3 linked regions of the Cricetulus griseus genome follow. The protein of the gene in region 1 interacts with the protein of each later gene in a pairwise test. Links are inferred from orthologs where the notes say so. Each region holds a gene or a part of one and is shown on either strand. Other genes may lie near its edges.

Region 1 (4,286 bases):
TTCCTGCCTTTGTCTCAAAAGTGCTGGCACATAGGTATCAGCCATCAAGACCAGTTTTTTTGTTTTTGAGGCAGGGTTTCTCTATAGCTTTGGAGGCTGTCCTGGAACATCGCTCTATAAACCAGGCTGGCCTTGGACTCATAGAGATCTGTCTGCCTCTGCCTCCTGAGTGCTGGGATTAAAGGCATTCCTCAAGCCTGGTTTCTTTAGGCTTTCAGTCCTGTCTCCTAATGTCAGAGAGGCCTCCTGAGGCTTTCTTTTGAGCAGAGTGAGCCAGCTGCCTGGCCTTCCTGGATTGTCCACTTGTCTTCAACTATGACAGGTTGGTCCTAAGTCCTACAATGTCCTTCTCTGAGTTGCTAATGTGTCTTTCTTGCAGGGGAAGAAAGCATTCTCTTTTTCCCTACAGTTGTATTGTAAGGAAATTAGGTCACATTTAACACAATATAAAAGAAGCCCTGTAAAGAGTTTGCCTGTGGAGCCTGGCAGTGGTGGGACACACACACGCCTTTAATCCCAGCACTTGGGGGCAGAGCAGGTGAATCTTTGTGAGTTTGAAGCCAGCCTGGTCTAAAGATCCAGGATAGCTAGGGCTGTTACACATAGAAACCTTGTCTCGGAAAAAAAGACAAAACAAAACAAAACAGAAAAAACTTGCCTGTGTACCTGGACCACTGCATGCTGCCCCAGGCCTCTGTGAGCCTGTCTGCCTTGGGAGATGGATTATTGCCTGTGTAGCTTAGGCTGAATCTGATAGTGAAAGATCCAAAGGGGATCAACTTACCATTGGCAGCAAGTCTAGGGTTAGGCATTGGTAAGGCAGCCGGAAGCTGGGAAGGGCTGGGATGAGTGTGTGTGTCCTGCCGGCTCTGTGTGAAAGCTCAGGTTGAATGATGTTAAAGAGGGTAGTCTCTGTGCTAGACACTGCTGTACAGCTGGCAGAATAACAGGTGAGGATGCAGAGTGTGTCTATACTGATAGTTAGGAGCTGGCTCTGTAATGATGAGAATTCAAGTCTGTGCCTCTAACCCTCTTCCCATGGCTCTGTTTGATGGCACTCTGCCATCCCACGTTTCTAGACAGTGGACATGCCTTGTTTACCTCTTTATTCCTAGTCTTCTGCACAGTGCATGATGTATGATGTTAAGGTTAGGGGACAGACATGATGGCTCAGGCCTGAGACAGCTCCTCTTAGCCCTTCAATGCTCTCCTCACCACACAGGTACCCCTTTATGACCAGTGGGAAGATGTCGTGAAGGGGATGAAGGTAGAGGTCCTCAACAGTGATGCTGTGCTCCCCAGCCGGGTGTATTGGATTGCCTCCGTCATCCAGGCAGCTGGTTGGTGTTCTGCTCTCTGGTCAGGGCAGGGTCTGGGATTTATCAAGTGGGTGGGTAGTGTCATAGGGTAAAATAGGCCTCATAAACCAAGGCCTCACTCACGAGCTTTCTCTCCCTTCTTGGAGGTTCTCCTCCCTTAGATGAGAGCACAGAACTGGGCAAACTTTAAAACTAGGGTATTGTTTCTTTTTTATTTTTAAGGTTTATTCTGGGGATAATGAGGGTATAGAGGAAGTTACCAGACCAGAACACTTTTTTTTTTTTTTAAGATTTTATTTATTATGTATACAACATTCTGCTTCCATATATATATGCACATCAGAAGAGGGCACCAGATCTCATAACAGATGATTGTGAGCCACCATGTGGTTGCTGGGAATTGAACTCAGGACCTTTGGAAGAGCAGTTGGTGCTCTTAACCTCTGAGCCATCTCTCCAGCCCAGAATGCTTTCTAAGTATGTGGCCTGGATTTTGTTTTGTTTGGATATCAGGGACCCCACTCGTCTGGAAGGAGTTTCTAGCATAGGAAGTCCGACTGGTGCTAGAGGAGGAAGTAAGCCTGAGAATGTGCCTTTCCCATCTCCTCCCTCTCACAGGTCCCCTTGCCCTTCCTTTCAGGGTACCGAGTGCTGCTCCGATATGAAGGCTTTGAAAATGATGCCAGTCATGACTTCTGGTGCAACCTGGGGACTGTGGATGTCCACCCCATTGGTTGGTGTGCCATTAACAGCAAGATCCTGGTGCCTCCACGGAGTGAGTTAATGAGAAAGTTCCCCATGCCAGGTCCCTTTATTCCTTCCCCTAGAAGTTCCTGGGTAGTTTGGATTCATATATATATCAGAGTGAATGTCTATTTACCATATGTGTACAGGAGCTAGAGATGGTTGTGAATCACTGGGGGGAGTGGGGGACTGGAAATTGAACCCGTGTCCTTTGGAAGAACAGGCAGTGTTTTTAACCTCTGAACCAGCTCTACAGCCCCTAGAGGCTGGTTTTATAAGATGAAGTCATTACTGGCCTGAAGTGGTGGAACTGAATATTTCCATCCCTCCAGCTGATCTCTGGGTTGGTGAAGGTGCTGTCAATCTGTTACCAGCTTGTGCTTGTGTCTCTGTAGCCATCCACATCAAGTGTACTGACTGGAAGAGCTACCTCATGAAGCGGTTGGTGGGCTCCAGGACACTTCCTGCAGATTTTCACATCAAGGTCTGACTGTGTTCCCAGCTTCTTTCCCTCTTCCCTCCCTTTCCCCTCTCCCTCCCTTTCCTCTTCCCCTCCTCCTCCTTACTCCCTATTCCCCTCTTTCCTCCCTCTCCCCCTCCTCCTTCCCTCTGTACCCTCCTCCTTCTCTTTCCCCTCCTCACTCCCTTTCTCCTCCCCCTCCCTCCCTCCCTCTCCCACTTTTTTCCATCCTTCATATGATTCATTTCAGGGGTTTTATTTTGCTTTTGTGGTTCTGGGAGTGGGACCTAGGGCTTTCCATATACTAGTACCGTGAGTAATGCTCCTAACCCCATCATAGTACTCTCTTGTGACTTTGTTTGGCAGTCTTCAGTCCAGAACTACCTCTGGTGGGTGGCTACCTGCCTCCCTGCCAAGACCCTGGTCCACCACATTGATCCTCTTGCTTTCTTGGCCTTTTGGATTTTGAAATGTCCCAGATTCTTGCCCTTTCTTCTAACATTTTCAAAAGTATCTTAGGTTTCTATTGCTTTGGTAAAACACCATTACTGTGAAGGAATGTGGGGAGGAAAGGGTTTATTCTGCATACACTTACTTCCACATCATAGTCCATGATCTAAGGAAGTCAGGACAGGAACTGAAGCAGAGGCCATGGAGTATTACTGCTTACTGGTTTGCTCCTCATGATTTGCTCAGCCTGCTTTTTTAAAAATATTTATTCATATTTTATTTTATTTTATGTGCATATATGTCTGTGTCTAGGTGCCAGATCACCTGGAACTGGAGTTATAGACAATTGTGATCTGTCATGTGGGTGCTGGGAAATGTTGTCAGTGCTCTTTTTTTTTTTTTTTTTTTTTTTGGTTTTTTTTTTTGGTTTTTTTTTTTTTGGTTTTTTGAGACAGACTTCTCTGTGGCTTTGGAGGCTGTCCTGGAACTAGCTCTTTGTAGACCAGGCTGGTCTCCAACTCACAGAGATCTGCCTGTCTCTGCCCTCTGCCTCCCAAGAGCACCACCACCGCCCAGCCCTTTTTTCTTTTTAATACTGAACATTGTGATTTCTCATTTGAGACGTAGAATGACTTGTTTGAAACTTTTCTAAGCATTAGAATATATTATGTTAGTAAACTTGTAGCTTTTTTTTTTTTTTTTTTTTTGGTTTTTTTGAGACAGGGTTTCTCTGTATTGCTTTGGAGCCTGTCCTAGCTCTCTGTAGACCAGGCTGGCCTCGAACTCACAGAAATCTGCCTGCCTCTGCCTCCTGAGTGCTGGGATTAAAGGTGTGTGCCACCAACGCCCGGCTTTTATTTTAGTTTTTAAATTTTTTTGTTTGTTTTTGATTTTTTGGTTTTGGTTTTGGTTTTTTGAGACAGGGTTTCTCTGTGTAGCCCTAGCTGTCCTGGAACTAGCTCTGTAGACCAGGCTGGCTTCGAACTCAAAGAGATCCACCTGCTTCAGCCTCCCAAGTGCTGGGATTAATTGCATGTGACACCACCACCCAGCCAAGACCCTGTCTTAACAAAAATGGGGTGGGGGAGGCTAGAGAGATGGCTCAGTGGTTAACAGTACTTGCTGGTCCTCCAGAGGACCTAAGTTCAATTCCCAGCACCACATAAGGCAGCTCAGATCTGCCTGAAACTCCTGCTCTGGAGATCCCAACATCCTCTTCTAGCCTCCACCAGTACCCCACACATATGGCATACAGATAAACATAATAAAAATAAATCAAAAACCAAAGCACTGGGACTGGAGAGATGGCTCAG
Region 2 (4,386 bases), on another chromosome or scaffold:
ACCTTTAAAATTAATCTCTCTCTTCTGGAGATAGAACACAAAGACAGGGCACTTGCTTAGCACACACCAGATCCTGAAGTCAACCTTCAGTATCCAAAAGTAAAAGTGAACCGAACTCTCCTGTGGTGGTAAGGAATACTTTTAACCTACAAAGCAGGCTTTTTTATGTCACCTTCAGATTCTTAAACAGCAAAGGGACAACTGTCCTTGTTTGTCTAATCTTCACAATACCAAGACTAAGGGACGGAAATGGGATTCTACATACCAAGTCTTAATTAAGGCTTTTAACTCAACTACTTGTAATTGCTAAGGAAGAAAGCATTTGACCTGGAATGAAAAGCGAAACTTTGCTGCTGAACTTTTTCATTGAAAAAACATTTCTCCATCAACGGGCATTTTCAGATATATCTCATTATGTAAACTTGTCATAAGCTCTACTTAAAGAAAGGAAGGAAGGGTTTTTAAGCTAGCAAGAGAAAATTATTTTGTAAATTTCTATCTTTCTAGTCTTACCGTGACCTCAAGGAAGTAACTCCGGAAGGACTGCAGATGGTAAAGAAGAACTTTGAGTGGGTTGCAGATCGAGTGGAGTTACTCCTGAAGTCAGATAGTCAGTGCAGGGTTGTAGTGCTGATGGGTTCCACTTCTGACCTTGGTCACTGTGAGAAAATTAAAAAGGCTTGTGGAAACTTCGGGATTCCATGTGAACTTCGAGTAACATCTGCCCATAAAGGACCGGATGAAACTTTGAGGATTAAAGCAGAGTATGAAGGTAAACTTAATAAATAAATGGACAACTTCAGCTATTTCTGATTTGGGTAAAATATTTTAAAGTACATATGTTTTGGATAATAATGTTTTAAAGAGGCTTTCCATATTTCGGAGGAAAGTCATGTGGAATGCCTATACTTTTACACTTATCCCCAGGGATAATGTCTGACATCCTATCCCTCTTTGTGTACCTCATGCATGTGATGCCCATAAACTCATGCAGGCACACATACTTGTAATTTTTTTGAATCTTTAAAAAAAAAAAAAAAAAAAGGCTCATTGATTAAGAGGAGCACTCACAGCCATCTAGCTCCAGTCCAGGGGAATCCATCAACTTCTTCTGGCCTCCAGGAGCACTGCACACCACACCCATGCATAGACATGGAGGCAAAACAGCCATACACATAAAATAGAAGGATGTGTGGTCTCCTTGTCTTATTAACAGTGCCCCTTGAGCACTGTTGCTGGCTTATTCCAAAAGAAAAGAATCCCTTACCCCAACTGTGGGATGCCTAAGGCTAAAGCAGCAGGGCCTCTCTGGTATCTTTGTCAGTTTTCTTGAAAGAAAATAAGAAATAAAGCTATAGTTTCAGGAGTTAATACATTAAGTAAATGATAGGATATCGTTGGTACAAGAAAACTTAACAGAAGTGTAGTTAACAATGGGAGGAGGGCTTCCGGTCCTTTAATAAGCTAATGAAGGCTTGGATTCTTTCTCCAGAAAGGCAGACTAAGTTGTAATAAGAAATTCAGGATTCAGTATCCAGCACCACATAAAACCAGGACCTGTAGTCCTAACAGGTGGGAAGGTCGGGTTTGCTGTAATTCAAGCTGAGCCTGGGCTAGAGTAACACTGTATTAAATATACAAACTTCCTAAACTTTTGAGATATAGAGATGTACTTTTGCTGTTGGTTTTTGATACTGCTAATGATGGGCCTTTCAACTCAAGCATCCTAAGCCCTTTAACTTTGGGTGCTTTTACTACATGTACTCCAGCACCCAAATACTGAATACTGGAAGTAGCCACGAGAATTTTAATCACTATTAAATGAGTCTACTGGCACCCTCTGGAAGGACAACTCATCATAAAAGATAGCTGTTCAGCTGGTGAGGTTCTTCATGCTGCTGAGTCTAAGCAGCAATATCAGAAGGAAGCTGTGAACCAGCCATTTCCTTACCAACTTCAGGACATTCTCTTTATACTGTAGATCTCAAAAATGGCCATTCCTATGCTACTTAGGTTATTATTAACTGTACAGCTAGGTATGCTTTTTCTATAGCAGACTACTAAAGGATTTGAGTTCATTTTGTATTTTACATTTATTTTTATAGTATATGTGGAGGTTAGAGAACAGCTTGCAAGAGTCAATTCTTTGCCACTATATGGGTTCTAGAGGTCAAACAGGTCACCAGACTTGGCAACAGTTCCCCTTACCCACTGAGCCATCTAACATGCCCCCCCCCTTTTTTTGTTCCTGCTGTTATTGTCAACAAAACAAAAGGACCTGGTTATCTTGTAATTTCCCTAGGCGATGGCATACCTACTGTATTTGTCGCAGTGGCTGGCAGAAGCAATGGTTTGGGCCCAGTGATGTCTGGTAATACTGCATATCCGGTTATCAGCTGTCCCCCCATCACACCAGACTGGGGTGCTCAGGATGTGTGGTCATCCCTTCGACTGCCCAGTGGTAAGATCTTGAAAATTTTCAGTACTGGGAGTATACACAAAATTTCAAGATGCAATCTTAATGTCTCTACCAGCCTCATCTTCTAATATTTAATTACACATTTTAGCCACAGCCTACTAATTTTAAATCAGACGTTATATTTTTGAATTATTGTGTATTTTTTGCTTAATATGCATCTCTTAAGAAGTAAAGACTTGGCTTTATTATCATCTTTTGTTTTTTTATTTCTTTTTAAGCTACTAACTCATTTATTTGTCCTTTCTATTCTGAACCAATAGGTCTTGGCTGTTCAACTATACTTTCTCCAGAAGGATCCGCCCAGTTTGCTGCTCAGATATTTGGGTTATACAACCATTTGGTATGGGCCAAACTTCGAGCAAGCATTCTTAACACATGGATATCTTTAAAGCAAGCTGACAAGAAAATCAGAGAATGCAATTTATAAAAAAAAAAAAAAAAAGTAATTTTTAGGAGAAAAGTTACACATTCCTAGTTTGAATTAAAAAGAAAGAATTTAAGCAAAATGATTTCACATCAGAGAAAACAATTCAGTTTACTGTTGAACAAAATGGTCCTCTATATTTTAGGGGTTGACAAGTTGTCAGTGAGTATTTGTTATTAATATTTTCTAGTTCTGAATAATGATGTGTTCCTGTAACCTCAGCACACCAGAGGCTGAGGCAGAAAAACTATGTGTTGAGACCCTGTATTGAAATAAAAAAATCTTTATAGTTAGTAAAAATTAGTATGACACTGTTCAATTATATTATCAATCACTACATGATCCTTGTTGGGCAGTTAATGTAACATTAGCAAAGAAATGTCTTTTATGGAGCTGGAGCTGTCTTTCTGGTTTAAGAACCAATGTGGCTCTCTTGCAGAGGACCAGAGAATTTGGTTCCCATCATCCATGTGGAGTGACTCATAATCACCTGTAACTTCTAATTATTTCTAAATGCTAATAATGATTTTTTTGTAAATCAGTAGCTACTGGTTGGTCTTCTGTGGATCATGATTTGAAAATTAAAATATTTCTGTTTATGCTAATAACTATTCTCACTGCATGGTCTGTATGTTCTAAGTCCTTATCTAAGAAAGTACATAGCTACATGAATCTCCAGCTAAGGTATGTGTTTGTGCTTTGTTGGGTTTGTTTTTATGGTGGTGAGGAAACCCTAGGTCCTTACACTTGGTAGGCAAGCACTACCTCTGAGTTACATCTTTACCCATGTTTGCTTGGGGGGTTTTGTTTTGTTTTTAAAGAAATTGAGAATAGGGGTAGAAGAAACACATAAAGTGGAAGTGATGGAAAGGGCTCCTTCCTGAGGTGTTTGTGTATTAGGACAATTCTTGAAAAAAAGTAGTCTCCTTCCCATTCCAATAAAAGACTACGTAAATTATGGCTTAGCCATTTAACTAGGTTTTATGGTAGGTGCCTCTGTGGGCCATAAACTTTGATTTTCTAGTAAAACATTTTGGACACAACTGCAGTCAAAGGAGTGAGTGGATGTAGTGGCTAGTTGTTGGTTTTGCTAGTGAATAGCTGGACAGAGGGCCTAGCCACATTCACTTCTGTAACACCTGACATTACTGAAAAGTCAAATGCTATGTTTCATGAAGCTTAGTTATAGATTCCATCACAGTGTTTCCCCATTCTTTGCCATATTCATCACATGCACTGAACTAGTTGGGTCTTCTATTTACTTCTCTCTTCTGCTCTGCTGGCTTCTGTACCTTAAGTCCTAAGTCTCAAGTCTTGAACATATTTACTATGCCTAGCTTGAAATTTCATGCTGCCTTTCAGTGCCAAATGCATGGCAACAAGTTTGCTACAAATATTCAAAGTCTAGGCAGGGCAGAATTGTAGATTGTACAGTTCTTTATATGAATGAACTCAGTGTATTTTTTTCCTTGCTAAGCAGCAG
Region 3 (4,324 bases), on another chromosome or scaffold:
ACACACTGACGTGCTAGACTACAAATCTAGTATGTGCAAGATGATGAGTTTCATTATATTTTCACAGGTGGATACCATACTCCCTCCCCCCTGTAGCAATATGATGGACAGCCAGGCTGAGTGACTGTTCTGTACTCTGTCAGGATAAACCTCAGAGTATTGTGTTCCAAAGTCTTAAGGAAAACCAGTCTCCATATCTTGAAAGCTTAGAGTCACAAGCTGCATTTCATTCACTCTGCCTGTCACCCATTACATCTGCCACACCCAAGACCTTGAATGCCAGTGACAGAACCCAACTCAAGGGACTCTGGATGCAGTTCAGCCTCCTGGCCTAGAGTGAATGAAGTTCTCAAGTTACATCCCCGGCCTGGTGGTGAATGCCTGCAATCCTAGCAATGGTAATGACTGAGGCAGAGGGATCAAAGAGTCTGCGATCATCCATAGTTACATAGAGTTTGAGGTTAGCCTGAAATACAGAAATATTAGAGACCCTGTTTCGAAGAAAACCCTTTAAAACTAACCCAAACCTCCCAGAATGAGTCTACCTTCCTTTCACCCTCCTGCCACATCCAGGTGACATGAGACACCTCGTACAGCCATCTCCCTGGCCTTTACCAAAATAAATATGATTCACACCTGTTGTCCAGGTAGAGGCAAGAGCACCTTTGAGTTAGAAACTGTCTTGTTCCTAATTGCTTCACCGGTCTCTAGTTGACAGAGCCCACAGACGCTAGTTTTGCTTCATGGTTCAGTGAGTGGCAGGAGCCCTGGGCTGGGATCTGAAGGTGGATATGCACTATGAGTGATTGCCTCCTTCTGGCCAGGAGAGGGAAGAGCGGGGCTCTGTGCTCCTAGACCATAGCGAGGCCCGCTTATGCAAAAATGTGCCCAACAGTGACCCCAGCCTTAAGGCCACCTCAACCCATCTGTCAGATGGGGTGAGAGCACTATTTCCAAGGACACCAGCTGCCTCGGAGCTTCTTGACAACTGGACTCTTGAGGATTCCAACTTTAGACTTAGGCGTCAGGATTCCGAGGCTGACCAGGAGCTGCTAACCCTTCTCCAGCCATTAGCACGCCTGGGCTGCACAGTTGGCGGAGGGCATGTGATTTCCCCATCAACTGGACAGCGTTGGCGGGGCTGGGCGGGACTGCGAGGCCAGGAGAGAGCAAGGAGGGCGGCGTTGCGTGCGAGCGCGGCCACCAGGGGGCGCCATCCTCCGGGCTGGCGTCTCGACCCCGCCCCGGCCGTTCGGCTCTGCTCGGCTCGGCTCGGCTCGAGCGCAGCGACGGCGGCGCGCGCTTCCGCCTCGCGGGCTCTGGCCCGGGTGCGAGCGGCCGCGCGATGTGGCTCGGGCCGGAGGAGGTGCTGGTGGCCAACGCGCTGTGGGTGACGGAGCGGGCCAACCCCTTCTTTGTGCTGCAGCGGCGCCGGGGCCACGGCAAGGGCGGCGGCCTCACGGGTGAGCGGGGCGCGGGTGGCCGGGCCTGTGCGCACCGGGCCTGGCGGGACAGCAGGACGCGGCCAGAGGGCCAGCGGGCACGCGCAGCGACGCGAGGGGTCGGAGAGCGGGCGGGGAGGATCGTCCCAGGACCGGTGGCAGGGGAGGGCAGCAGTGATCTCCCGGAGACGTGTGCACACTCCTGCAGAGGAACTTAGCAGCCAGAAGCGTGCAGAGTTCCCCCAGCTCGCCTTCTGCCTCAATTTCTCCAAGTGACTCTGAGGGACCAAGTGGGATAAACACACATTTTCTTTTGCCCTCTTCTTTTTTTCCAACTCACCCAGGAATTGTCTCTTTATGAAGATCAAAGATGCTCTGTTCCCCTTCCTCCAGCTTCTGTTCACATGGTGCCATCAGAGCTCCAGACCCAATGCTTGTTTTTGCATAATTATCAGTGTATATGAAGCGTGCCCCTGAGAAAGCCCAGATGCCCCTTGGGTGTCTGGGCACCACCACTCATACAGAAGCAGCTGGTGTGGGTGCCTCTGATGTTGTGTGACATGTGCGATTGTGGGAGTCTACTGAGCAGGATTTATTCAAAGCCCCTTGTGCTCCAGAGCCGTCAGGTATTGCAGGAACAGGTCTGGCCCTACAGGAGACTCCAGTGGACCCTTCTGGGTGCCATATCGTTCGGTTTATAAAGCGAATTCTCTGCGAAAGGCCCTATTTTCAGTGTGGCAGCTAACAGTCCTGCCAGATGCAGTTGGAGGCTTCTTATAGGTGCCATCAGCTGCCAGGCTGTCATGAACCACACTTCTTAATGTGGAAGGAACTGTACCTTTTTCAAGAAAACTCAATGTTCTCTTCCACAGTCAGGCTCCTTCCCGAAGGGCCTGGAGATTACTGAAGGTAGTACTGTACCGGCCTCCAGGACCCAAAGTTTATGGACAGTTAGGTAGCAGCTGTCCTGGGCAGCCCAATGACCAACCTTGGAAGGCCACAAGGCCACTGGGGAACACAGGAAACCATATGACAAATCCCTTTTGTTACATCATTCATCTCTGTGTCCCCCTAGGCTGAGCTTCCAGAGTACTGCCCCAGCCATTCTATGGACTCCTCCGAATCCCACTGATCGAGATTTGTGCAAGCAGCTGTAGCTATTGTGCCTTCACAGATGTCAGTTCTGAGCATTGTCTCCCTAAGAGAGATCCATCAGTAATGCAGATTTATTCAAACCTCTTTTCCTGGGTCCTGGCAGCAGGACCCAGGTCCAAATCCCAGCAGCCACATGGTGGCTGACAGCCAGCAGTAATTCCAGTTCTAGAGGATCCAGAAACCTCCTCAGGCCTCCATGGCCACCAGACATACTTGTAGATACAACACAGAAAAAGCAATGAAATGAGCCATCCATGTGGTGCACAGAAGGCAGAGGCAGATCTCTGAGTTGGAGGCCAGCCTGGTCTACAGAGTGAGTTCCGAGACATACAAGGCTACAGAGAGAAACCCTGCCTCACAACACAAAAACAAAAGAAAGGAAATAATTTTTTAAATAGCAATAATAACTAGCCAACCTGGAGTTCTCATTAAAGAGTGGACGTGAGAAGATGGTCAGCAGATTAAAAAGGTCTCAGGTCCTCAATATGGCTATGCCAGTAATTTATCCAGAGACTAAAAGAATATTCCCAAGACCAAAAGAAAAACCTCAACATGGACATTGAAAAGTTTACTCCAAGTGGGGCGGGTAGTGGTGCATGCTTTTGATCCCAGTACTCAGGAGGCAGAGACAGGAGGATCTCTGTGAGTTTGAGATCAGCCTGGTCTACAAGAGCTAGTTCCAGGACAGCCTCCAAAGCCACAGAGAAACCCTGTCTCAAAAAAAAAAAAAAAAAATTTACTCCAAACTCTGGGAAAACTCGAGTGTGCCTTTTTCCTTTTGTTTTTGAGGTAGTCTCACTATTTAGCTTTGGCAGACCTGGAACTTGTTACATAGACCAGGCTAGTCTGAAGTCACAGAGGTCAGCCTGCCTCTGCTTCCTGAGTGTGAGGATTAAAAGTGTGCGCCATTTAACTGCAATTTATATACTTTCCGTGTGTGTGTGTGTGTGTGTGTGTGTGTGTGTGTGTGTGTGTGTGTATTTGTATGCACACATGCATGCAGGAGCCCATGCATGTGTGTGCTGAGGCCAGAAGTTGACATGGGTGTCTGTTTCTCCAGCTCTCCTCCACCTCCACCTTGTGTTTTGGGACGGTTGGCTGGCCATCGGATTCCAGTAATCCCTCTCCACTCTGCTTCCCTCACTGAAGTTACAGGCACAAGCTGCCACACCCATCTTTATGTGGGTGATGGGCATCTAGGCTTAGATCCTCCTGCTTGCATAGTAGGCATTTTACGCTGAGCCGTCTATCTCCCTAGATGCCTAACCGCAATTAGGGTGACTTTTTTTTTTTTTTTTTAACATTTCAGTAAAACAAGTGAGAAACCATCTGTTTGGATGTGTCTATTTTGTAACCATCCATCGAATTTATTAAAGATGGAGGGGGTCAGATGAAAAATGGTATGTAGCAAAAAGTATTTAAGATGAATAATAAAACTGATAGAAACTGTTTTGTGTGCCAAGAAGAGAGCAGCGGAGTGTTTTCGGATCTCCTTGAAAAGGAAGGCATACATTTCAAACAGGAACAATGGACAGGGTTTTTTGTTGTTGTTGTTGTTGTTGGGTTTGTTTTTTTTTTTTTTGATTACTTCGTTATTTAAGTAATCAAGAAGAGTGGATCAGAAGGGCAGTGGTAGAAGATAGGGGTTTCCTGCCGATTTACCAGGAAATGATGACACTGACAAAGAGCACTGCCACAATGTGTGTCATCAAGCCAAAGGGTACGTG

What was found.
Region 2: the proteins of L3mbtl2 (region 1) and Paics interact in binary tests that used the Homo sapiens proteins (3 or more experiments, as listed by UniProt). The two-hybrid records come from large-scale screens. The link is inferred for Cricetulus griseus from reciprocal best matches to the Homo sapiens genes L3MBTL2 and PAICS.
Region 3: the proteins of L3mbtl2 (region 1) and Tbc1d9b interact in binary tests that used the Homo sapiens proteins (3 or more experiments, as listed by UniProt). The two-hybrid records come from large-scale screens. The link is inferred for Cricetulus griseus from reciprocal best matches to the Homo sapiens genes L3MBTL2 and TBC1D9B.

Annotation. Positions count from the first base shown.
Region 1 is NC_048595.1:378,817,375-378,821,660, forward strand, and holds part of L3mbtl2 (lethal(3)malignant brain tumor-like protein 2), read left to right. Parts: intron 1-1,222; coding exon 1,223-1,340; intron 1,341-1,959; coding exon 1,960-2,094; intron 2,095-2,458; coding exon 2,459-2,547; intron 2,548-4,286. UniProt on the Homo sapiens protein: Putative Polycomb group (PcG) protein. PcG proteins maintain the transcriptionally repressive state of genes, probably via a modification of chromatin, rendering it heritably changed in its expressibility.
Region 2 is NW_023276807.1:143,382,033-143,386,418, forward strand, and holds the end of Paics (multifunctional protein ADE2), read left to right. Parts: intron 1-507; coding exon 508-772; intron 773-1,009; exon of another isoform or gene 1,010-2,302; coding exon 2,303-2,461; exon of another isoform or gene 2,462-2,485; intron 2,486-2,739; coding exon 2,740-2,906; 3' UTR 2,907-3,511; downstream 3,512-4,386. UniProt on the Homo sapiens protein: Bifunctional phosphoribosylaminoimidazole carboxylase and phosphoribosylaminoimidazole succinocarboxamide synthetase catalyzing two reactions of the de novo purine biosynthetic pathway.
Region 3 is NC_048600.1:64,592,574-64,596,897, forward strand, and holds the start of Tbc1d9b (TBC1 domain family member 9B), read left to right. Parts: upstream 1-1,280; 5' UTR 1,281-1,345; coding exon 1,346-1,463; intron 1,464-4,324. UniProt on the Homo sapiens protein: May act as a GTPase-activating protein for Rab family protein(s).